4 linked regions of the Drosophila melanogaster genome follow. Changing the gene in region 2 together with the main gene of any one other region gives a genetic interaction. Each region holds a gene or a part of one and is shown on either strand. Other genes may lie near its edges. The genes, in order: Incenp, yki, Tgi and vg.

Region 1 (5,526 bases), about 17 Mb from region 2:
ATGGGAAAATCTAAAAGTTGGTCTTTCAAAAGTTCTAAAGAATTGCAAACTGATGGATCACAAAAGTGGCATTTGATGGAATTTTAGAGCTTATTCATTTAGATGTGTTACTATCTTTCCTTACAGTTTTTGATAGAGTATCCAATGTGCCACATGGAATTCACATAGATTCAGCCCCAATCGACTTGGGTCCGTGGGGAAGTGGAGCTACTAACAGAGTGCACTTAAACGGAAACAGTAACAATTGAAAGTGGCAATTTGGGGAGCGTACGCGCCTTAATTAGATTGCGGATTAAGATGGTCCCATCGAATCATATTCATGGGTGGATCCGCGGCGACTTCCACATGGAGTCGACTCTAATCAGCAGCAATTACTGTGCCAATTGCCCATGCCGATTCCGCTGATTTCGGCTTTCGATTGAAAATGAGAATGGCTCGTTGGAAAAGTGGGATTAGCAGCAATGGAAACATGATGGAGGAGAATCGAATCGAGGCAGTCTTTTCGATCGTCTGCGCATCATGCCACAAAACCATGCCCCATGACCAGTGAAATTGTGTTTGCCGGGCTTGTTTTCTTTTATTTCGTTTACTTGCCTCCTCTGCGTTTTCACACTTTTCACGAATCGACGTATCCATTGTTGGGCAACTTGGCTAATGGAATCGGCAAGCAGCCACCAGCGAACCATTAATTGAGCACGCTGGCGGCTTTAATAGTTCTAAAGCAGCTGGATATTAGTGTCAGAGTCGCAGTGAATCGCGCAGCGGTACTCCGCTTTAATTTTCACAATTAACTTTATTTATTCGATCATAAACATGTGCATTTACGGGAGAAGAGAGCAGGACTACTTGGCTAGTATTTCGGCAGCTCGGAATAGCGCGGCGGCGTGGACCACAGCACGCTGGAGTTTCGCTTCAGCTGGCTGGGATCGATGTTCGGGAATATCTGCTTTAGGTCCGGTGTGGTGGGCGCCACCGAGAAAAAGCTGTCGATGATGTCGGTTGGGCAGTGGCTCTGCATAGCAATTGCCTCTCCCCTTACGTGGCCTGAAAATAAACACATAAGTCAGAATCTATATTTAAGAACATTTCCTTTAGTAGTCCCAATGGAAATCAGACTGTAATCTGGTGTATTTACTTGTATATATTTACGATGAATAAGGTATCTCGAAAATAACTCTTCGAAATGATCCACAAACTTACTTCGACTCCAGGTGGGCGCTGGGGGACGCTTGTGGGTGACCTTTCCCTCGTCGTCTGTCGAGTCGTCTTCGTGCAGCATCTCCCAGGTGTACTTGGTTTTCGGCGGCGGCGGAAGCATCTTCTTGGGCTTGGCGCCGGTTAGCTGCTGCAGTTTCTGCTGCTCCAGCTCCTTGAACTTGGCCTTCTTGAGCGCCTCGGCTTCCTCTTGCTGGCGCATCTTCCGCTGCAGCTCCTCCAGCTCTTGTCGTTTGCGCTCTTCAATTCGCTTTCGCTCCTCCTGCTTCTTGGCGCGCTCGGCGGCCAGCTTGGCCATACGCTCTGCCCGCTCCCGCTCCTTGGCTTCGCGCTGCTGGGCAGCCTGCTGGTGCTTTTGCTCACGCAGCTTCTTGCGCTCCTCCGCCAGATTGTGCAGGCCCTTGCGGAAGTCGTCTCCGCTGTTCTCGCGCGACAGCGTTTTTGTGGACGTGGAATTGACCGACCTTAGGTTCGTACCGGTGGCCGTCTTCAGCAGACTAGTGGCCTTAGACGCGCTGGCAGGTCCCTTCTTGGGCTGCGCCGAGCTTAATGGTAGTGTGCTTGTCGTTTGAGTCGGTGTGAAAAAGCGACCAACAGTCGGAGCAGGCAGCTTGCCAATTTTGGGAGTGTTGTTTGATCCTGGCGTGCCCTGCTGAAGAGTAAAAAAAAATAACAATAAATGAATCACCTATCAAACAGTTCTAGAAAGCGCCAATTGATACAGAACTGGTGAATAGTCTAGCCTAATTCTGCCTGCTATCTGCCTGCTATATATGTGCAACTATACTGTACCTACCAGATCTTTTCCCCGCTTAGGGCGCATGCTGTTCTGTGCGTTTGCCGCATTCTCGAACGCCTCCACGCGCATTTTCACTGGACTCTGAAGCAGTGGGCTGTAGAAGTGCAAAGATTGTTTAGAAGGATAACATGCATGAAGAGGCAGGGTATCTACTCACTTGAAAAGCTCATGTGTACGGGTAGGCAGTTTTATAGCCTTTATGCTCGAGAGCAGCTTGGTCGTCGGCAGCTTCTCCTCCACCGACTCGTCCTCCGTTAAGAGGCTGTCCTGCTTACTCAGAGGTTGTTTCTTGTCGTTGGAGTGCACCTCAAAAGTGGCATCTCCAGCTGGTCCTATTGGACTATCGCTCGTCGGCGCAGGACCCAGTACGAGGGTGGCGTTGGAAATCGCCACGGTCTCATTGACAGCAGCCGGAGCAACTGCAGCCACTGATTGCTCTGCAACGGGCGGATCTTCGAGTGCATCCTTGTATATGGATCGCTCCTGAACCGTTCGCGAATCGCTGCTACACTTGCGCGTGCGCGACGAGACTGGCGAGCTCTTGTCCAGGTCGCTGAATCGTTCCACCTTTATGGGTCGGTGGCTTTCCACGTCCTTCTTCTTCTTGCGGACCTTCTTGGAGACCTCCGTGGATGTCGTCGTGTTGCTGGCCACCGTATCGTCCGGTCGCGCTGCCTCCGTTGTTACAGAGGAGACGGTGGTCACATTTGCCGTGGAGACCGCATTGGTTAACGGGGGCACTGCTTCGGTACTGAGTTTCTCGCGCTTTACCTTCACGCGGAGTGTCTTCGTGGTGTTCACGTCCTCTGTGACTGAGGCCTCCTCCGGAGGCTTTTGCTGCTCAGCTGTTTCTGCTGCTGGCTCTTCTAGTTCCGGCTCCGCTAGTTTATTTTCCTCTAACGCCTGTGCACTGGTGAAGCTGTTAAACTGGGAGACTCGCTGCTCGCTCTCAACCTTGACCTTTACGAGCTCCTCGCTGCTGGGCCGCCGCATCTTACGGTTGAGTGAGGGCTCCTTGAGTAATTTCTCGGTCTTCAGCTTAGCGGCTCGCTGTGGCCTTCCGGAGCCGAGGGTGGTGTCCGCCGAGACGGGCACAGGCGGAGGCGGCATCAGCGAGGCCGTGGAGTTGTGCTCGTCCTCGGCGATAGCCAGCAACTGGGAGTTGCTGACCCGAGTGCTTTGACGGGCCGACGTGTTGTTGGCCGTGGCGTCTGGAGCTGCTCAAATGGAATATCACAGGGGTTGTTGGTCGTTAATGCTTTAAAATGGCCAGGATACTCACCCTCGGGCTCATTCTGATCCTCGGCCAGTGAGGTGAGTCGCTTGGGGCGCTTTTTCGTTTGCTGCGGCGTCACCGAAGAGTTCTCCTGACTCTTCGCTGCCGGAGCACTGTCCCTCGGTTTGGCCTCCGCCTCCGGCTGGCCTGTGCCGTAGAAGAGGTGGTCCAGCTCCTCAAAGTGGGCCTAAAAAACACATATGACGCCATGTTGACAGTGTCGGAATTTCGTCTCCTGATCCTGGCTTACCTTGCGCAGGACCTCGAGCTCCCTGCGCAGGTCCGAAAGCGAGCCCAGCACGCCCAAGATGTCCTCCATATCTAGCGACTGTATCTGACAAACTGCAAATCCGGATTCGGTTCCTTCGATTTTATCGTTTTTTTCAAATGGCGGCAATTGCGACGCGCGTCAGCATTTGATAACATGCCTTTAATTGTGCACTGTTGACAGTTAACAGCTCGTCGGGTGCTGTAAGGCGCATTTATGCCTCTGCTTTCCAACACTGCACGGGCGATAAAGTTCCCGCGCAAAATGAAAAACACAACCAAAACTTGTTTTTTGAGTGAATATTGGGAGATATTTATTTGAATTCTTTAAAATAATATTATTGGGTTATTTAAATAGTTACGTACTGGATTTCTAGCCCTGTAAATTTTGAAAGTATAACATTAGGTGAACCAGTTCCAATACGTTCCCGCCACTACCATCTCTAGAAAGCAGTGCTGCACGGCTCCCCAAAAAACATATTGTAAACAAATTTGAGGGAAAATGGTAAGGGAAAGAACAAAAAGGAACATTTAAATTATAAATATAGATTACGGAAGAGAATTAATTTGCGTAAAGGACCGGAAATATTTCAAACAAGTTTCAGCAAACGTCCAGTGCTGCACAAGCACTTCCGACGATAGTATCGCCATGGCGAGCTGACCAGCAAGCCCATCTCTAGCACATTTGTTAAAAAATTTGCAACAAGCCAACGAAAATCGACCAGGAACGGTGGACAGCCAAAACCGCGCGCTCTGCGACGACCACCGTGGGATGCACATACGTATGCGCAGCCGTGCCGCGGAGTAGACACAGTGCCCGCGATCCGCGACCAGCGAACCGCCAAACCCCGAGAAGCCAGCTGCAGCAGATCCACAGATCGCGCCGCAGATCCAGATCATGGGCCTCGACTTCGACGCAGTGGAATACTGCAAAGGGGTGAAGACCCAGCAGTCCCAGCCGCCTTTCGCCTGTCCCGTCCGCGGCTGCGACCGCAGCTACAAGACCATCATGGGTCTGCAATACCATCTTATGAAGTACGACCACGACAACCCACAGCCGCTCACGCCCGTGCTGACTCCGAGCCGCAAGAAGGCGCGCTCACGCTCCGGCGGCCACCACTCCACGCCTCGTCCGCACAAGGATCACCCCACGCCGGGTGGCGGTGGAGCTGAGGCCAGAAACGGCTGCTCCTCGGCCAGCGCAGGAGGTGGATCGGCGAGCGGAGTCAGCGCCCGGCAGTACGCCAATCCAGAGTCACTGGTGTCCTACAACGAGGAGGAGGCCACGGTGACGTTTAACTTGGACGGGAAGAGCGTGCGCCTGGGCATCGACGACGCCTTGCCGCTCGTAGAGGACGAAGAGTTCGCCGCCCTAGTGGCCAGGGGCTGTATTCTGAATGCCGACGCACCACCGCTGGAGGAGAACGCGCCCTGGGCAAGGGTCCAGGTGCCCGTGGCCAGGGTGGCCGAGATTCCGGACTACCGAGTGTCCGACGCCCCGCCACGGCCGCTGGCCTACTATCGCTTCATCGAAAAGTCCCTGGAGGAGCTGGACGGGGAGGTGGAGTACGACGTTGACGAGGAGGACTCCGCCTGGCTGGAGCACATGAACGAGGAGCGCCAGCGACTCGGCCTGAACGCCGTGGGCATCGACACGATGGAGCTGCTGATGGACCGGCTGGAGAAGGAGTCGCACTTCCAGGCGGCGGCCAACGGCACACCCACAGGCGTCGAGGTGGACGACGACGCAGTCTGCTGCATTTGCCTCGACGGCGAGTGCCAAAACACCAACGTGATACTTTTCTGCGACATGTGCAACCTGGCGGTACACCAGGACTGCTACGGTGTCCCCTATATCCCGGAGGGCCAGTGGCTGTGCCGCCGATGCTTGCAGTCACCCAGTAAGCCTGTGAACTGTGTGCTCTGTCCCAATGCGGGCGGCGCATTCAAGCAGACGGACCACGGGCAG
Region 2 (4,953 bases):
CACTGTAAGATAACTACTCGACAGCCCAATCCCTATGCATGATGCTGTTCTCCAGTCTAAAGCGGAATACATTACTTAAGCGTATCCTTTGGGATAATTTGTAGCATGCATGGGAATCGGGACGATCGGGTAGTTGTGGAAAAGCCACTAAATGAACCGAATGTACTCACACCAACGAAGCATACCAATACCCGGAGGGGCATCAGGATGACGTAGCGGATGAAGAAGCCGAACACCCAGATGGAGGTGATTTTCCAGGAAATGAACTCGTAGTGCCTATTGGTGCGTGTCAGCATGTTCCAGCTCTTGAGCTCCTCCGCCTCGAAGCGCGACGTAACATCGTCCTCGATGATGGCCTCCACGCCAGACTTTACGTAGTCCAGGCATTTCTCAAAATCGAAATTGATTTCATCCTGCAAATGGGAAATGTTGTTTAAATCAGGTGCCCATTGCAATGCCGGACTCCTTACCTTTGTGGAGGAAACTGGCTTCTCTGGAGCGGGCTCCTGTGGCTGGGGCAGGAGTACCGCGTCCCTGGTAATCAATGTGGCTCCATTGGTGCCTTCTTTGGAATCGGCGTCGTCCACTAGTTGCACTCCCTGTTTGTCGTCAGTCTTGGGATTTTGAATGTGTTGGTTTTCTTTGGATGCTGTCTCTATACTAACTCGACCATACTGAAAGTAGAGGTGATTAGTTGTTAACGAGTCGAATCGGGGATTATCTGCAGATAAGATTATCGCAAGCATATCGTCGGACGAGGTAATGACTGGCACTTTACAAGTGTCTGGGAAGCGGCAACTTGGGTGCACTGGCGCACTCCTGCCCCGCAGATTCCTTGAGGATAGCCGAAGAATCTACTTAAAGCTTCCGGGCAAGCAATAGTTTCTCGAACTCGCCTGCATTGCAGTAATTGCGTAGGGCAGACGTAGTATGGCGTACTCCAAAAGCTGACTATATTTATGGACTTTGGAATAGCTTAACTATTGGTAAGACAGCACCATTTGCAAAGCCACCGCAGCAGTGGAGCACCTCAAATCGGTGCTTACTCATCTGAGGAACGAAAGCAAGCAATATTTACCTCGAATATCCTTAGGAGGAGGTTCACGTACGCTTTTCGGACGCCGATTGATTTGTTTATGGCGGAAATAAATATGAGAAATGAGAGGAAGCCCCCGATGGGGATCCAGAATATGTCCAACAGCACGGCGATCATTTTACATTTGTGTCATGCGACATTAGTTATTGTTAAGCGAAAAATGCCTCCGAATTGTGTCGTGCCAATATATACAATGTTAAAATACTTTTTGCTGTAGACCGAACTAGCGATGGACCTTGACTGTGTCAAAAACCTGTCTCGTGCTCACAGACCTGGCCCGCGCTCATCTCTACGGGGAACAAACGGAAAGGGGACGATTCCGGTCGGGCAGGAGACGGAACGGCTTCTTGTTCCACTGCCAATCGTTTTGAAAAGGGTTGAATGAACGTGCACTGAAAACAAAAAGGCACATTTACATTCAGATTATATTGTTATTGGGTATGTGTTTTTGACAGACCTTTACCTGCACTTATTACTTAAATCAACAAGGCACATTTACAATCAGTTTATATTGTTATTGGGTGTGTTTTTGACAGACCTTTGCCTGTACTTATTTTCACTAAACAAAATGTTATAAACCAATAAATAATAATTGTTAGTCTAATAATTTATAGTCTGATATTATGGAACACAAGTGTGTGGGCTATACACACACCATAATTTAATATCTACTTTGTTTTGTGCCTTATTAATTACAAAATATAGAATAAATCTTTAGCTATAGCTAAAGGAAATCGACAAAAGTCGTAATCGGCTTGCGGAATACCCCTGGCATTCCGCAGGTGCAGCCACGAAGCCGATTACATGAGGAACGCTAGTATCGGAATGGACAAGTGGACGGGGATAGCCATCTGGCAACACTGGGATAAATTTATTTTATGTTGGCAGTTCCGTAATTATTATTATTACTATTATTTATTGCAACGAAGTTTAGTTTTTAACACCTTAATGTTATAGTTTCGCGCAGCGCGATGGAGTGATACGTATATGGAAGAACATATATGTGCGCGTGCCTAATCGCTAAGATAATTCTATGTAGTTTTCGTTTGTATACAATAAGTGCCTTTTATATGTTAACGACGATGTCAGCCAGCAGCAATACAAACAGCCTGATCGAGAAGGAGATCGACGACGAGGACATGCTTTCGCCGATCAAGTCCAACAACCTGGTGGTGCGGGTCAACCAGGACACGGACGACAACCTGCAGGCGCTATTCGACAGCGTCCTGAATCCGGGTGACGCCAAGCGCCCGCTGCAGCTGCCCCTGCGCATGCGGAAGCTGCCCAACTCCTTCTTCACGCCCCCGGCGCCCTCGCACTCGCGGGCCAACAGCGCCGACTCCACCTACGACGCGGGCTCCCAGTCGAGCATCAACATCGGGAACAAGGCGTCCATCGTCCAGCAGCCAGATGGCCAGTCGCCCATCGCCGCCATCCCCCAGCTCCAGATTCAGCCGTCTCCCCAGCACAGCCGCCTGGCGATACATCACTCCCGAGCCCGCAGCAGCCCCGCCTCGCTGCAGCAGAACTACAATGTGCGCGCCCGGAGCGACGCAGCAGCAGCCAACAATCCGAATGCCAATCCGAGCAGCCAACAGCAGCCCGCTGGGCCCACTTTCCCAGAGAACAGTGCCCAAGAGTTCCCCAGCGGCGCCCCGGCCAGCTCGGCCATTGATCTGGACGCCATGAACACCTGCATGTCGCAGGACATTCCCATGTCCATGCAGACAGTGCACAAGAAGCAGCGCTCCTACGACGTCATCAGCCCCATTCAGTTGAACCGCCAACTAGGCGCCTTGCCGCCGGGATGGGAGCAAGCCAAGACCAATGATGGCCAGATCTACTACTTGAAGTGAGTTTGGGCAGATTTTAAAAATGATATGCATGAAGCTTTATTTAATACGTGTCTTCTTTATGAACTTATGAAAACTAAAATATTCTTGTGAGTCACAGAAATCTCATTGGCTTCGTTGGATGTCTTTCAAGTTTATCTCTTAATCATTACTAGCTCAACTAATACCCAAAACAGCAATCTCAACAATGGTGTTCTCTCTACTTGCAGTCATACTACAAAATCTACGCAGTGGGAGGATCCCAGAATCCAATATCGCCAGCAGCAGCAAATCTTGATGGCCGAGCGAATAAAGCAGAATGGTAGGTTCTATCTTAGATGTAATGCCTTAGATAAGCAAGTCGTTAACTGCCTGTGGCTGCGTCTCATTGTTAACCCACTTAAATCAGCCATCAGAGGACTAATTAATGCTAGAGACCAGGCAGGGATAAGATAGGCTCTAACTCATTCCAACTAACGCATGAACAGCACAGTACACAACCGATTTCAGGGAGTCCATTCCGTCCATTTTGAGCGCGCCAATGCACTTTTCGGGATTGGGTTGGAGTCTGATCATTTTGGCATTCGGAAGTGGGAGCTCGATTGGATTTGCTTTGAGCATACTCCAATTGATTTTGATATGTGCTGCATGCTGGGCGCCAGTGCCCCTCCGTTCTCATCCGCTTACACACTGCAGCATTACGTTGAAGACATATTTTAATTTGTTTTTATTTACTTTGGTTTGTAATTCATTGTTTTTGTTCGATAGATGTTTTGCAAACTACAAAACAAACTACCACATCGACCATTGCTAACAATTTGGGTCCACTGCCGGATGGTTGGGAGCAGGCAGTTACCGAGTCCGGAGATCTTTACTTTATAAATCACATTGATCGAACGACTTCATGGAATGATCCCAGAATGCGTAAGTCTCGTTCCACCACCCCGACTAGCGTAAGACAACGAGACACACAGATATCGTAGCGATATCGCTAGATAACATTGAGTGCGCAGTGGGCGGGGGGCCGATCACGTAATTCCCATGGCATCTCTGCTTTCACTATATAGTATAGTACTGATCTTGAGATAGAGGCCGAACACTCCACACTCCTTATCGCTCCATGCCTCGCCTTTACTAACTTAACGCCTTCCCTTACCGTGTATCTTTGCAGAATCTGGGCTTAGCGTGCTCGACTGCCCAGATAACTTAGTGTCTTCCCTCCAGGTAAGCATTCGCAGTTGCCGACCGCCGAGTTGGCGAACCGAGTTCCACGCCACTACCTCACTTTGCCCACTTTACGCTTTCAGATTGAGGATAATCTTTGCAGTAACTTGTTCAATGACGCACAGGCCATTGTAAATCCGCCGTCTTCCCACAAACCTGACGATTTGGAATGGTATAAAATTAATTAATTCAATGTATACATCTGTATTAGACCTAAAAGTTTTATATTTTGTATTATTCTAAATTAAATATTTTTCAAATTTTATAGTATTTCTTTACATAAACGAATTTGTGTGTTTATCATTATTACTGGGCGCCTTGTTTCTGGGTTTTAAAGCTTCCGACGATCAGTGAACGCACTGATTGAAAAGAAGATATCTGATTCAGATGACTTTCGAACGCCGAAGAGAGAGTTCAGGTGGATGAAAGGTGTGGTCAGCAGCGATGACTCATGCCGAAACCCGAATACCCCGACTATTGTAAAGTGCAAGCCAAGTAACCAAGTAACCAGAATGCGGCGTGCATTTGGACCAGAATGCACGCGATTCATGAGCTTCATTGAGTTCGATCTGTGACCGACCCAGCAGATTCAGCTTTACGTGGAGCCAAAGACATCCATGCTCATCGGTGTCATTCGCTTGCGAATCTGTTCGCGTTCGCTCTTTATCAATGCTTACCCATGAGTCACTTTTGCAAATATTCTTCTAATTTAGCATGAATTACTTATTTTCGTGATGTCAAGCTAGTCATCGTTTGAATTCTTTCAACAGCTTTCATAGATGATAAGAGTTGGACTTGGGT
Region 3 (8,023 bases), on a different chromosome or scaffold from region 2:
CGAAGGTGGCGGCGATGGCGGCGTTTGGGTGCGATGCAGTGCCAGCGACAGGGGAAGCGGTTCCTCCTGCGGCGGCGGCAGTTCCGGCTGCAGCGATTCGGGCTCCAGAATGACCCATCCCGACTTGGCCAGCGGCGAGCGTTGCTGCTGGTAGTGCTGCGATGCCGCTGTGCTGGTTGATGAAGGCAGTCCGTAGGCCAGTGGCGAAACCTGCTGCTTAGGTGTACCACTTGGCGAGGGCGTGGGTGTTGGCGTAGGCGTCGGTGACTTCTTGGCGAACAGGGCAGCATAGTTCTCGCCCAGTGAGCGTCGGAAGTGCTCGTCAATGTCGCACATCGCCATATCTGCAAGGCAAATCAAAGCATCAGGTTAGTATGATCGTTGACACTAATGTGCATATATGACTTCTCACCTGTAGAGTGGGCCTGCTCCGGTGGTTCTCGCTTGGGTGGAGCCTGGGTAATGACGCTGGGTCGACTGTTGGCCGCGTAGTTGGTCCCAGGCAAGGGTTCGCGATAGGGTGGCGGCGGTGAGGCTCTCTGCTTCAGAGCTCCCGTCGTCACCGACATGTCAATGGGACTGTCCATGTCGCGATCCTCTCGATCCCGCTCCCGTTCCCGCTCCCTCTCGCTGTTGCCTGCCTCGTGCGGCTGGTATCCGGCACTACGCTGACGCCGCTCGCGTCGCCATTTGGTGGTGGTCAGCACCTTGGACGTCGCACGCATCTCTGCAAGGAGAAAAAAAAAGAAACATCAAGAGTCAAAAACGGTTTTCAGGAAAACGAGCTATCTGTTTTGGCCATCTTTTTGGCTAGCCCTCTGAATAGTAATAGTCCATATGTCCATATTATAGACAAAAATCGAATTTCAATTAAAACCCATAAATTTGCTGTGGCTTTGCGGTTGATTTGGGTTTTGTCTGGCTAGCGATTCACCAATGCTCGTTGCGGTTTACGTGTCTGTCGTCTTGGCTTCGATTATGCGGTCGATGAGTGGGCGTAATGAATCAGTTGGAGTTGAGGCGAGGCTGACTCTACAAAGGTTCTCCTCCACCCGATCGCCTGCCTGCGTCTATGTATCCAAATCTCTACCCCCCCCTGGCCCGCTCTGTCCTGCAAGTTTGTTGCCTAAGTCTTTCGTTTTTTTGAATGAACCTCTGCCAAAAGCTGCAAAGTCGCGGAGCGGCAGAGAGCGGCAAGAGCGGGCAGGAGGAAGAGTTTAAGGCAGCACAGAAATTATGCACAAGAAGACGTAGCCGTCATCGGCAAAAAATATGAATAAAAATAAAACAAAAAAAACGGCACACACACACTCGAACAAATAAATAATAACAACAGAAAAAGCATATACAATCGAAACTCCAAGGCACCAACAAAATTGGTTACGAAAACTCGTTTGGTCTACGCTCTTTTTCGAGTTCGCCTGGGTTGTATGTGTGTGTGTGTGTGTGTATTAAAGTCTGGGCCTGGCCTACACTGAGCGAAACGCAGGAACGTGCCTGGCCTGCCAATGGGCGATTGACCGAGCTGCCGGCGTGGGAAGCGGCCAAAACGGAGCGTGGGCATCCCGTCGGGATGAAAGATCCATCTGCTCCAGGCGCTCAGTGTAGCTGCTGCTGCAGCTTGCCAGGAAACCAAGTTTATAAATAAAGCAAAAGGCTGGCAGCGGGAAGCCAGGTCCCAGAACCCAGTTTCTCGGCCGATATCGAAGGGGCAGGCAAACCAGTCGGGCGACTTCTGCACATTTCGAGCAGCGCAGAGAACCCCGTTTGGAGGAGGAGTAGCTGCAGTCCCAGGAACCCAGGCATGAATGAATGAATGAATGGCTGGATTGGGATGGAGGCGGTTGGCGTTGGCGGAGGAGCAGGAGCAGGAGGAGTGGTAGGAGCAGGCGGGAGCGTTGTCCTGTTTTTGGCAACGTCACTGCGGGGCTGCCATATATTACTACCTCTGCGAGTCCAACCAAACCGGCGAGGCAGAGGAGCACCAGTAAGAGGAGCCAAGAAACTGGTCTGTCCCGAGTGGAGCACTGGGCGCAGAGGATGACGAGGAGGTGGAGGAGGAGGGCGGAGGCAGTGAAGTTGGAGTTGCAGGCCAAGAGGCATTAAAAACCAACAAACACGGAGGCTGGGAGCAAACTTGGGCTTGGACTCGGGCTCGGGCTCGGGCTCAAGCGGATGATGATGGGGATGATGATAATAATAAAGAAACATTCAAATTTTATTGCACATTTCCGGTCGTCGGACGTCGCCGTCTGTTGGGGGATCGGCGGTTCGACAGCGAAAACAACAACCACAACAACGAAGACGAAAACGACAACGATGGAGCATGGAGCATGGAGCATGGAAGTTGGAACATTAAGCTTTCTTTTTGAGGCTCCCCCTCTTTTGCGGATTGTGGTCTGCAGCTCCCTATCTCACCTTCGCCGCCACCGCATTTTCAGCATCCTCTCGGCATTGTTTATTTGTTCTGCTGCCAGCGTTTTAATCATTTCTGTATCGGCTAATTGGCGATAAAGGGGAAGTCGATTGAATGGCAGGCCGTTTCGAAATTAAGGGGGAGTTCGTAAAAGGGAGCTCGAAATGGGGTTACATCGATGATATAAGCAAGGGACAGTCGTGGGATCCAGGCGATGTAGGATGTAGTGACAGTTAGCTTGTACTCCGAACAGAAAAATCAAACGATTTAAAGGTAGAAACCAGGTTTTGGCATTTGTAAAATGAATTGAAGCCATAAAGAACGACTTGAATAAACAATAAAAAAACAACCGCAAAGTTGAATAATTAAGAAACCAATCTATACATTCGTATTTAAGGTTTTGTCATCAGGTCTTCTATTCTATAATTCGTATAAGTATATAATCGATACAGGGTTATTTCGTTAGTTTTTGATACCCATTTATTTTTATAGAGATGCATATAAATGGTAAATTTATCTGCCTTCATTTCAATGTTTTGTGGATAGCAATTACAAGGAAAGCATTACTTCCCTAATATTCCTATAAACAACAAATTTAGCAAATAATAGACTTTTCAATTGATAATGTTAGATGTTAAAATAAATCCAAGTATTTTAGAAACTTTGCCCATAACAATTAGAGTACATTATTATTGTACAAAAAAATCGAACCATTATTTCAGGCGAAACATTTCACAATTTCCGGTAACGGTGGGCCAATCTCAAAACTTCTTCACCGCTGAGGTGATATATCAGCTGTCTGGCGAGATTTGAAAGCGCCGGCCCAGTGAGATCCCAATATCTGGTTCCGACCCGAAGGGAACGCGCGAAAGAGAGGGGAGGAGAGGCGGAAAGAGAGAGACGGCGCGAGAGTGACAAAACTCAAGCAGACTTGCATGCTTATAAGTTTTGGCCTGTTCGGAGTGTAAGATTGTACTACAAATGGCTTCAAAGCAATAGCAATAGCAATGGGAACAGCATTTTGTGGCTTATGCAAACAAGTTGTTGCTGCTCTGGTTGTTGTAGCTTTTGTAGCTTTGTGTACACATTTATTTTTCCATCATCGTCGCCGCCGCCACCGTCACCGCCATCGCAGGCGTTTTTCATTATTTATATATTTTACGTTTATTTTTCTTTACTCGCGCCGGCTAGTGAGTCATGCCCGTAACCACGTATCCGATCCCCAAGCCCCCGATCCCTGCCAGACTTTCCGCTATACCCGCACCGCATTACCCGCTGGCCGAGTTGATTGCAAATCTGGTTTTAATATGTCAACAAATTAACAAAAGCAAAGCAAAACCGAGTCGAGCCAAGCACAGCGGCTCCAAGCCCCAAACCAAGCCCCCCCCCCCCCCTTCCCAATCCAAGTTCCACCTCATCGTTTTTATTTTTTTTTTATGGAGGTTTAATGTTTAAACAGGCGCTCATTTTTTGCTCTTTCTCGGGCTGCTCTTTTTTTCCAGTGATTTTTGTGTTTGCCTGGCGTCGCCATGTAATTGAAAGCATTTGTGTGATTTGTGCAATGTCGCCAATTAACGCGGTGGAACTGGAGTGTGAGTGTGTTTGTCTGCTCGTTTGCCAATTCGAGCCCGAAGCCAATCGTTGGCGACGGGGGAGCGCAGTAAAAGTGTTGCCAATTTCATTACCAATTTTCCAGTTGGCACAAGCCAAGTAGAGACGCCATCGATACGCTCTTGCAGCCGGCGTGACCGATTGCGTTAGCTGCCGTTGCCAATCTGCGTCTGAGTCCCAATCCCAATCGTCATCACGTTCACGTCCACGTCCTGGCCACACGCCGCCCACTAACTGATAAAGCGAGGCTTAGCGAATCGCTTCCGATATCCCATTCATGAGCGCAGTGGGTGAGTGATTATCGTGGCCATGTGGCCAAAGGAAAGGGCACGTTCGCCGATCCATTGAACTTCAGCACCGATCAGGCGAATGAGTGTAGCCTCCACGTGAGCAGCAGGTGCAGCAACGTGGTCTTCGCTTGTCCTGCTCTTCGCTGCACTTTGCCTGCCTCCATCCACCCAAGATAATTGCGAACATATTATGTGGTAACCTAGAACCACACGTGTTGTTTACTTCAAGGAACAGTCATGCCAAGAAGTGGAAAGAGTTTGAATGTTCATTCGGTGATATACGTATACTATTTAACAAGATGCTTGTAAGATTTCAATACTCTGGTCTGCAAAGAGTTTATATAAACAATATTGTCTTTGTTTTGGCTTCTTATTTGTTCGGTTTTTAAAGCTGCAATTAAAGATCTTGTTGTAATGAGATTTCAACTAGAAATCAGGTAACAAGAACATCCCCTATGCTGTCATAGGAAACTTTGGGTTAAATGGAAAGAACTTTGTGTTTTTTTATGCTGGATTTTATACTTAAAGATTCAAAGCTTCGTTGAAATGTGTAATTAAACATCTTTAGATGTTTCTAAATGTTTCTACTATAGTTTAAAATTTTCATTTAGTTAAAAACTGACAGGTGGTTTAAAGCTAGAATGACACTGACAGGGTGTTACCTCTTTCAATTTGAAATCGACAATTTTTAAGAGGGTTTATACTAGAGTTTGAATTCATTTAAGCACACTGTTGTTGATAAACAATTGTTACAAACAATTCTGATATTTATTTACCTAAAATTGAAGCGTACCATTTACCGACAGGATGGCTATTAATAATCGTTATAATAAATCGTAACAACGTTGTAGAACCCTGAACATTTAGACTTTACTTCCCAGAAGAAGCACGGAATAAATTAAAGGTTATGATAAGACAAATTAGTGAAACTACACGAATCCGAAAAATGGAATTACGAAGAAGGGGATCTCACATTTGAAAGAATACAAACAAACTATCCCCTGCCATTGTGGCCTCATGTGCAATCTTCCTAATGAATTGTAAGCAAGTTTCACTGGCAAGATCACCCGTATGTGACAGTTTCAACCTTTCAGTCCCCCGAGGTCAGTCAGTCGGGGGATTTTCGCTAGTCGATTTCTTTGAAGTCGCCCTGTCAAACGAACCTGAGTGCAACTGCAACTGCTGCTGCTGCTGCCTGTAGAGCTGGTGATGCATGGCGGCCGCCTGCTGGAGATCTCGCCATGGCTGCCAGAGCAGACTGTTGGCCATGGAGGAGGCGTTAGGATCGGCGTTCGCCTGCGGATGCATCTGCTGATTGCCGGACTCCGCCTGCAACGCATGCAGCTGCTCCAGCTGCTGAGGATGCTGGACATTGTAGAACATGGCCCTCTGGCTGGCCAGTGCTTGTTGGTCCGCCAGAGCAGCGGCCGCTCGGGCAGTAGCCACCTGGGCCAACGAACCGTGCGAACTGGCCGCGGACGAGACAATGGAGGAAGTGGAGGGTCCACTCGAGCAGGATGCAGATGAGATGGAGGCCGTCGAGGAGGCGGATGAGGCGGATGAGGCGGGAGATGTTGCTGTAGCCCCCCCAGCGGTTTCGGCGACCAAACGCTGGATCTCCTTGTGGTAGTAGTAATCCTCGAAGGCATCCAGTAAGCAACGATAATCTAAGCGGAGAGCCATTCTATGCGAACTTGATGGATTCTCAATTAGCTGCGCTATCTAGCCACTTCCTTCTTCTCGATCCAAATCTCTGGGGGTATCGATCCTCCCACACCGCAGTCGCCGCCGAAAAACCGACTCAGCTGATTCACAAATCACTACGCCTTGGCCGGGAGTTGGGGGCGGTATCTATCAATCGGTATCAGTTGAAGTACTTCTCGGATGCTGGGGAGCGGCACTCTTTTCTTTTTTTCTTTTATTATTTATTTGTTTTTCTTTCCCTTCCAGTTTATGATTACTTTTTTGCGCTCGGCGGCAGATACAGATACACGAATGTGCGCACACAAAACGAGCCGCAAGTCGCGACTATAGATACAGATACAATCTGTTTCTGTTTGTCTGTTGGTTTTTTTTTTTTTCTTCTGCGATTTGGTTTTTTTTTTTTGCGCGAACCGCGACTCGGGTTACAGTCTCTCGCCAGTTGAAACGGAGACTTTGGCTCTGCTCCGGCGACGTGAGCCTCGAGTCGACATTTAGCAAAATAAAAATAGCACGCTCTTTTTTCTGGCTTTTTCTGCCTTTTGTTGTTACGGCGACTCTGTCTCCGACTCTGTCGTCTCTGGGTTATATGTGTTTCTTTTCCGAGTAATGATTTGCATAGAAATCGACAAATCGCTGACTGAACTTGAGCGCCAGTTTTCGCTTTCAGAGACCGACGAACAGAACGGGGCGGCACACACGAACCGATCTGGACGCACGTTCCACGCCACAAATCGTAGTACGAATAGCAAGGTATCGGCTATAGCTAGCTGTCAGCTATATAGCATTAGGAACTGGGCAACTGTGCAACTGAGCAACTGAGCAACGCGACACCGAACTGGCGGCTTCCACGGCCAAACTCAAACTGATCGTCGGCGAGCGGCGACTTGAAGATTGCGACTGGGGCTTGCTGTATTATTATTATTATATAGGGGGCTTTCGAAGCTCCGAAGCCGCGGCCGAGTCTTCTGTCTTCCGTCTTCGGTTTCTTTGCCAGTCTTCGTCTTGCGCTCGTTCGCTGGGCTGCAAAAGTCTCCACGGGTCTTCGGGTCTCTGAAGAAACCGGGAATCGGGGGGATCGGATCTGTAGAGTTGGGGGCTTTTTTTTCTTTTTTTTTTTTTTTAGAGCCATTTGCACTTGCGCCAGTTGTCGTCCCTTGTTGTTTTTCGTTTATTTCTCCTCTTACCAATTTCCGTTTCGACTCTGGTTGGCCTGGCCTGGACTTGACTGGGTTGGCCCTCTCTTTCGCCGAAGCTCGCCGACGTTCGCTGGAGTTCTCAACGGATTTCGGATCTCTGCTTGCTTTTGGTGATTTGGTAATTGAAAAAAGTACAACTGAAAGACAGGCAAAGAAAGGGGTCCAATGTCTGTATATCCGTCCGTAGGATGTGGCCGCCACGCCCCGTTGCCCCATTGATGCTTGGCAAATTGGGCAAAAGGGTAACGAAATGGCAGCAATTGGGAATTGGCCACAGTCCGCGCGAACTCTTGGAGCACCGTAGCTGCTCTGGCTGTGAACTGCGATTTTGGGTAGGGCCAGTCGGGTCGGGTCGGGTCCAAGCAGCGCACATGGTGTGGGCGTTCTTTCATGTTGTCTGCAACGCTCTTTTGTTTTGGGCCCGGTCACTGCATTGGGCTCATTATAATGTTTACCCAGAGTTTTGCCACAAACCAGCGTAAATCCAGCAATGTTTGTAGCTGCGTGCAAAGCTACCTACGTTCCACCACGGCTTGTCGAATATGTGTGTGTGTGTGTGTGTGTGTGTGTTTGTGAGTGAGGACTGCAAGCGGGCTTGCGAAAATGACAACCAACTAGGAAAATGAGGGTTTGCCCGAGCCACACCGACAATAGAATACCTCGAATCCTTACTAATAACCCAAATTGAAGTTTTTTTTTCGTTTCAAAAATGGATCAGCACCCAATTTGCATAACCCAAGTATATGTATCTGCACAGTTTGAAAACAAACTATAGCACATTGATAATGGGAATTTCCAAAAATTTT
Region 4 (4,613 bases), about 11 Mb from region 2:
ACCCTCTCATACTGGTAGAACGATCGACTTGTTCCAGCGCGCCCGTACAGATATGGATAGTAGGCACCGTACATAACTTCGGGGCAGGACACTGCCATTGTCGCAGTGGCAAGCGCACTTGCAACTGCAACTGCCACTCACTGCCACACACACACTGGCACTGGCACTGGCACTCACACTGGCTCACTGCTTTTGCGGTTTAGCGATGGATGGTAGTTAAATTGGTATTGTCACTTGAGCGGGGAGGGAATTGTGATGCCAATACGCGTGGTTCCAATTGGATTCGTAATCGTATCGGGGGTTTGAAATTGAATGCTCTCTCTGAAGAGAGGGAGATAGATATATAGATAGAGAGCGCGCGGGGAGGGAAGGGGGCTAAAACTTGGAGTAATTATAAAACCGGCTTTCAAGTCAAGGCGTGTTTTGTTGTTTTTGTTGTATTTTTTCTGCAGCAGTTGTAGTATTTATTTCTTTTGTTGGCTGGCAAAATTCCTGGAATGAAAACTCCGCTCGGCTAATTATATTTACATATTGTAAAACACCATCGCGTTTGTATCAGCAGCTATAATTGCTTTTTGTCTGTTTTTTGTTTACGTTTTTTGTTGTTTTTCGCAAACTTCTTTCTATGCATTTGCCATTCCCGTTCGTGGGTAATTTCCTTTTCTTTTCGACTCAGTTTCCTCCCCTCGTCGCTCTTCGACTTTCTTCACTTGCTTCTTTCTTCTTTGTTTGCTTGTGCAGGCAATTGCAATTATCATTTCCACATTGTTGATTGCTGTTAGTCGTTGTTTTCTATTTTTTCAGTTTTTTTTTCCCTTTGGCGTTGGAACGTCAATTTCGTTTCTCATCCGCGTTTCCGACGAAGAATTGCCAACTGGAAGGAAAATGGAGAAAAGTGCAGGAGAAGGCATTAACAATTTGCTAATTGTGGTAAGAAATTCAAAGCTGATGAGCCAATTTCTGGCATTTATGTTAAAACCGACTTTAATGATGTGACTATTTGAACCGTAAATGTCTGTTGAAAAGCAATTGCATGTAAACAAAGCATCATCAAGTTTCAAAATGGCTATAGAAAACCACAAACGAATGCTTTCACAGCTAAAGTAATTATGATCAAAATAAAAACCAATAAACTGGCACATAAACGGTTTTATAGACGAAGTGAATTAAAACTTGTTAAAGATATCCGTCGGAAAATAAGGAATTACTTTAAAAGTCTTTGAAGTTAATTCTTTAATTCTTGGCTTTAGCTTTTAGAAATATCTTGAATTAGGTCGCAAATTAATATGCTAAGCTTTTTTGTAGAATGGAAATAAATAATCGTTGCAACTATTGATTGATACAATAACAGCAGCAGCGAATGCCAAACGTTGAACAAACTATTGCATTGAACACAGTAAAAGCTATTGAAATGAAAATATAGCTAAGGTCCGACGGCAATAGGAATCATTTTTAAATAAACCTCCGTCGGGACATGAAAACACAAAATTTACATTTTAAAAGCTATCTGTCACAAAAAATATTCGTAATTTAATGAATAATCCTATAAATTATATCTGTGCTTCTACTACTGCTATTACATATTATCCCAATTTAATTGGAAAATAACTATAGCTCCATAATGTTCCCGTTACAAAAAACTTAAGCTATTTAACAACCTTTTTTTAATCCTTAACTGTTCAGAGCTTTTCACGTTGTACCTTTTTACAATTCAATTAAAAAGTATAGGAACAATATAACCAATTAAGTGGAATTAATAAATTAACCTTATGATGTAAGGTACAAACATCAATTTCAGACGTTTAGCCTAATATGCATAATAAAATTAAATGCAAATCGATAAATTAGGCAAATTATGATAATTATAATGACACCAGAAGGAAAACGACTGCGGTCCAATTTGACATTTCATTTATCGAACCCGCACTTACCACTTGAATGTTTTTAGTGTAATCCAATAAGATGTTCAGTGTTGCTTGCGTAAATCAACTCAATTCTCGTTACAGTGCACTTTTTGCAAAATATTCAACAATTTCACATCTCTTGACAAGGTAAAACTTGACTTAATTTTCGTTTGATCGTTTTGTTGTTGTTGTTAATTTGAATAGTAATTAAAGTGATACGCGCTGGGGAATTCGCACGTGAATTCTTGAGATTTTGGCGCAGCGGCTTCTGCGATTATTTTTAACCGAAAACGAGCAGCAAACATTTGGTCGGCGCACTCAATGAAAATATTTTCGCTAAATCCACAAAATGCCGAATTCCATAAATTCTTGGCGGCCCGATTGTGCGAGAGCGAGTGAGAGAGAGGGCGATAGCCAGCGAGCGAAAATGAGATGGAGAACGGCACTATTTTGGCAATTGCAGCATCCGCGGAAATCTCTATTTCTATAATTATTATTCTGCTTTGCGATGTGGCACTTGGAAAACAAATGAACTGCACTTGCCGCGATCACTCACTAGGATTTTGGTTTTGTTTCGTTTTAATTTTACGATATTCTCGTTTACGCTGAAATCGAAAATCCGAAATCGAAAATCCCGCGCGGCGGTGAGAGAAAAACACGGAGAGCTCCGGCTGCCGCTCAATCGGAAGAGAAAAAACAAACTGGCAAAAGGAGCGGTAAATCCAATGCATTTGCGGGCAGCGCGACGGCAGCGCAGTCGCCGCGGCATTGAAAACAAAATGGCAATTTCTTGTATCGGGCCATCTCTCTCGCACGGCAGTCATTGGACCGCGGTGGGAGCGGGACAACTAGTGTGCTGCAGTTGCCAAGCACCGCCCACTTGATTGCTGCCGCATTCAGCGTTGTATTGTTGTTTCCAGGTTTCCAACTAACGATGCCACATCGGTGTGAAAATAAAATGGAGTGCGTCTCAATTGTGTCCTCAAGTAGACGAAACTCCTGCTGTTTCTCTCTGATTTTAAAGTTCGACAAACAGATTGAAAGGAATTCGCATTCATCCGGGGCCTTCTACTTCGTCCTTTTGTTCCTTTCCTTGCCTTTCCGCAATGAAAAGTATGCGCCAACTGTGTCAACAGTGTTTGCAGTGCCCCCGCAATCCTTGTTTTCCAGTCCCCTTCCAAGCCCCAAGCCCTCCTCAACCGCGAAGTTTCCGTATTGATAATAATCTGATTGCAAATGAATACAATTTATTGTGCTGTTCATTCGCCTTCATTTCGCCGCGGATTGTTGACAAGGTGTGGATGCTTATAAGTGAAAGACGGTCTACTACACCTTTAATTGTTAGATTTCTGATAGGAACGTGTAAAAAAAGCTGAAAAATCTGTGGATAATATAAAAATGGAATACATCAAGTCGGCATGGAAAATAGCCCTACTACAGAGCATATAGGATCTAAACTTATGTTTTCATTTACAAATTCCAGGAAAGTCGGAACACAAAGTTTGGTTTTAGTGACAGCTAATATGATTTGATTACTGGTTATACCGATTTGGCTAAATATCGAAATTTGTTTTAATACGCAGAAAGTTGTTTAAGCAATGTTGCATAAAATGTTGTGGGAAACTTCTATAACTACGGAGAAAGCTAGAAAAAAAACCATGTTTATGTGGGAGTTTAACCTGAGAAAGAAGTTTCCAGATAAAGAAGACATGGCCGACGGGACTTCGAGCGGTGATTATTTAAGGGATTCTCAAAGTAGTTAAGGTAGTCAGTCTTATAGATGGTCACCAAGAAAACTATAATGGTTATTACACAGCCTGCATCAAAAACTAAATTTCTAAATTCTAATGCCAGATAATAATAATATCTTTTATTTATTTTGAAAATGATGAGAATATTAATCTCTTATACTACAATCCAATTAGACAAATCAAAAGTAGTGAACTGTTTTTACTTAAGGCTTTTAATAAAATTGGTCTGGTTTCAACCTTTTGAATAAAACATTAAGAAAACTCTTTGACCAGGTGCATATTGATAAGCTATGAGAACAAATGTGGCCTTTCTACAGACCCTAAAAGTATGCAACAAAAATATAATATTCTAGCTACACGTTAGCTTATATATTTTACCCACTTAAAAATAACCAACCAAAATATTAAAAGCAATTATTAAAGTACAAAACATACGCGCAAGTATTTATTTCTTACGAGTTTCCAAATAAATTTGACTCTAGGCAGTCTTCCCGTACATTTTTCTCGTTGTTTAACAACTTTGCAGCATGTTAGTCTTGAGAAGAAGGATAAAACACTCACGATTGGGTTTGGCGTAAAAATAAAAAGAACTGAATGCTTGGAAAGTCACAGGGAAAGTAAAACAATTGTTTCATCGAATTGTATTCAAATCTAAAGAGTACGTTGTTTGAGTCTATCGTGCTTAAGGCGTTAATCGTTTGGGATCGCGCGGGAACATGGAAGTCTTGCGGATGTTGTCCAATCCCAGATACAGCATCACCACACGCTCCATTCCAATGCCACCACCAGCATGTGGAGGACATCCATAGCGGAAGGACTCGATGTACGCCGCAATCTTGGAGGTATCTAGAAAACAAATATATACGGCGTTAATATTAAGTATTAATAGAGTAGATAAGTTTCAACTTCTTATCTGAAATGGGTTACAGTCTTATATAAGCACTTGAGCTATGCATTT

Evidence for each region.
Region 1: of yki (region 2) and Incenp, changing one enhances a phenotype caused by changing the other (phenotypic enhancement), as found in Drosophila melanogaster (one study listed by BioGRID).
Region 3: of yki (region 2) and Tgi, changing one suppresses a phenotype caused by changing the other (phenotypic suppression), as found in Drosophila melanogaster (4 studies listed by BioGRID).
Region 4: of yki (region 2) and vg, changing one suppresses a phenotype caused by changing the other (phenotypic suppression), as found in Drosophila melanogaster (2 studies listed by BioGRID).

The regions. Positions count from the first base shown.
Region 1 is NT_033778.4:7,276,812-7,282,337, reverse strand, and holds Incenp (inner centromere protein), read right to left. Parts: upstream 3,733-5,526; 5' UTR 3,610-3,732; coding exon 3,541-3,609; intron 3,478-3,540; coding exon 3,297-3,477; intron 3,232-3,296; coding exon 2,172-3,231; intron 2,109-2,171; coding exon 2,012-2,108; intron 1,868-2,011; coding exon 1,201-1,867; intron 1,045-1,200; coding exon 851-1,044; 3' UTR 543-850; downstream 1-542. Other genes in the region: Br140 (Bromodomain-containing protein, 140kD), read left to right, coding at 4,456-5,526.
Region 2 is NT_033778.4:24,065,460-24,070,412, reverse strand, and holds yki (yorkie), read left to right. Parts: upstream 1-1,927; 5' UTR 1,928-2,097; coding exon 2,098-2,948; intron 2,949-3,158; coding exon 3,159-3,250; intron 3,251-3,696; coding exon 3,697-3,852; intron 3,853-4,099; coding exon 4,100-4,152; intron 4,153-4,235; coding exon 4,236-4,340; 3' UTR 4,341-4,438; downstream 4,439-4,953. Other genes in the region: Gpat4 (Glycerol-3-phosphate acyltransferase 4), read right to left, coding at 171-413, 471-674, 1,079-1,213. UniProt on the Drosophila melanogaster protein: Transcriptional coactivator which is the critical downstream regulatory target in the Hippo/SWH (Sav/Wts/Hpo) signaling pathway that plays a pivotal role in organ size control and tumor suppression by restricting proliferation and promoting apoptosis.
Region 3 is NT_037436.4:13,493,604-13,501,626, reverse strand, and holds the start of Tgi (Tondu-domain-containing growth inhibitor), read right to left. Parts: upstream 6,001-8,023; coding exon 5,481-6,000; intron 728-5,480; coding exon 413-727; intron 345-412; coding exon 1-344.
Region 4 is NT_033778.4:12,882,630-12,887,242, reverse strand, and holds the start of vg (vestigial), read right to left. Parts: upstream 3,043-4,613; 5' UTR 1,932-3,042; intron 875-1,931; 5' UTR 99-874; coding exon 3-98; intron 1-2. Other genes in the region: AspRS (Aspartyl-tRNA synthetase), read right to left, coding at 4,338-4,501. UniProt on the Drosophila melanogaster protein: Involved in determining which thoracic imaginal disk cells will form wings and halteres, perhaps by interacting with other nuclear regulatory proteins.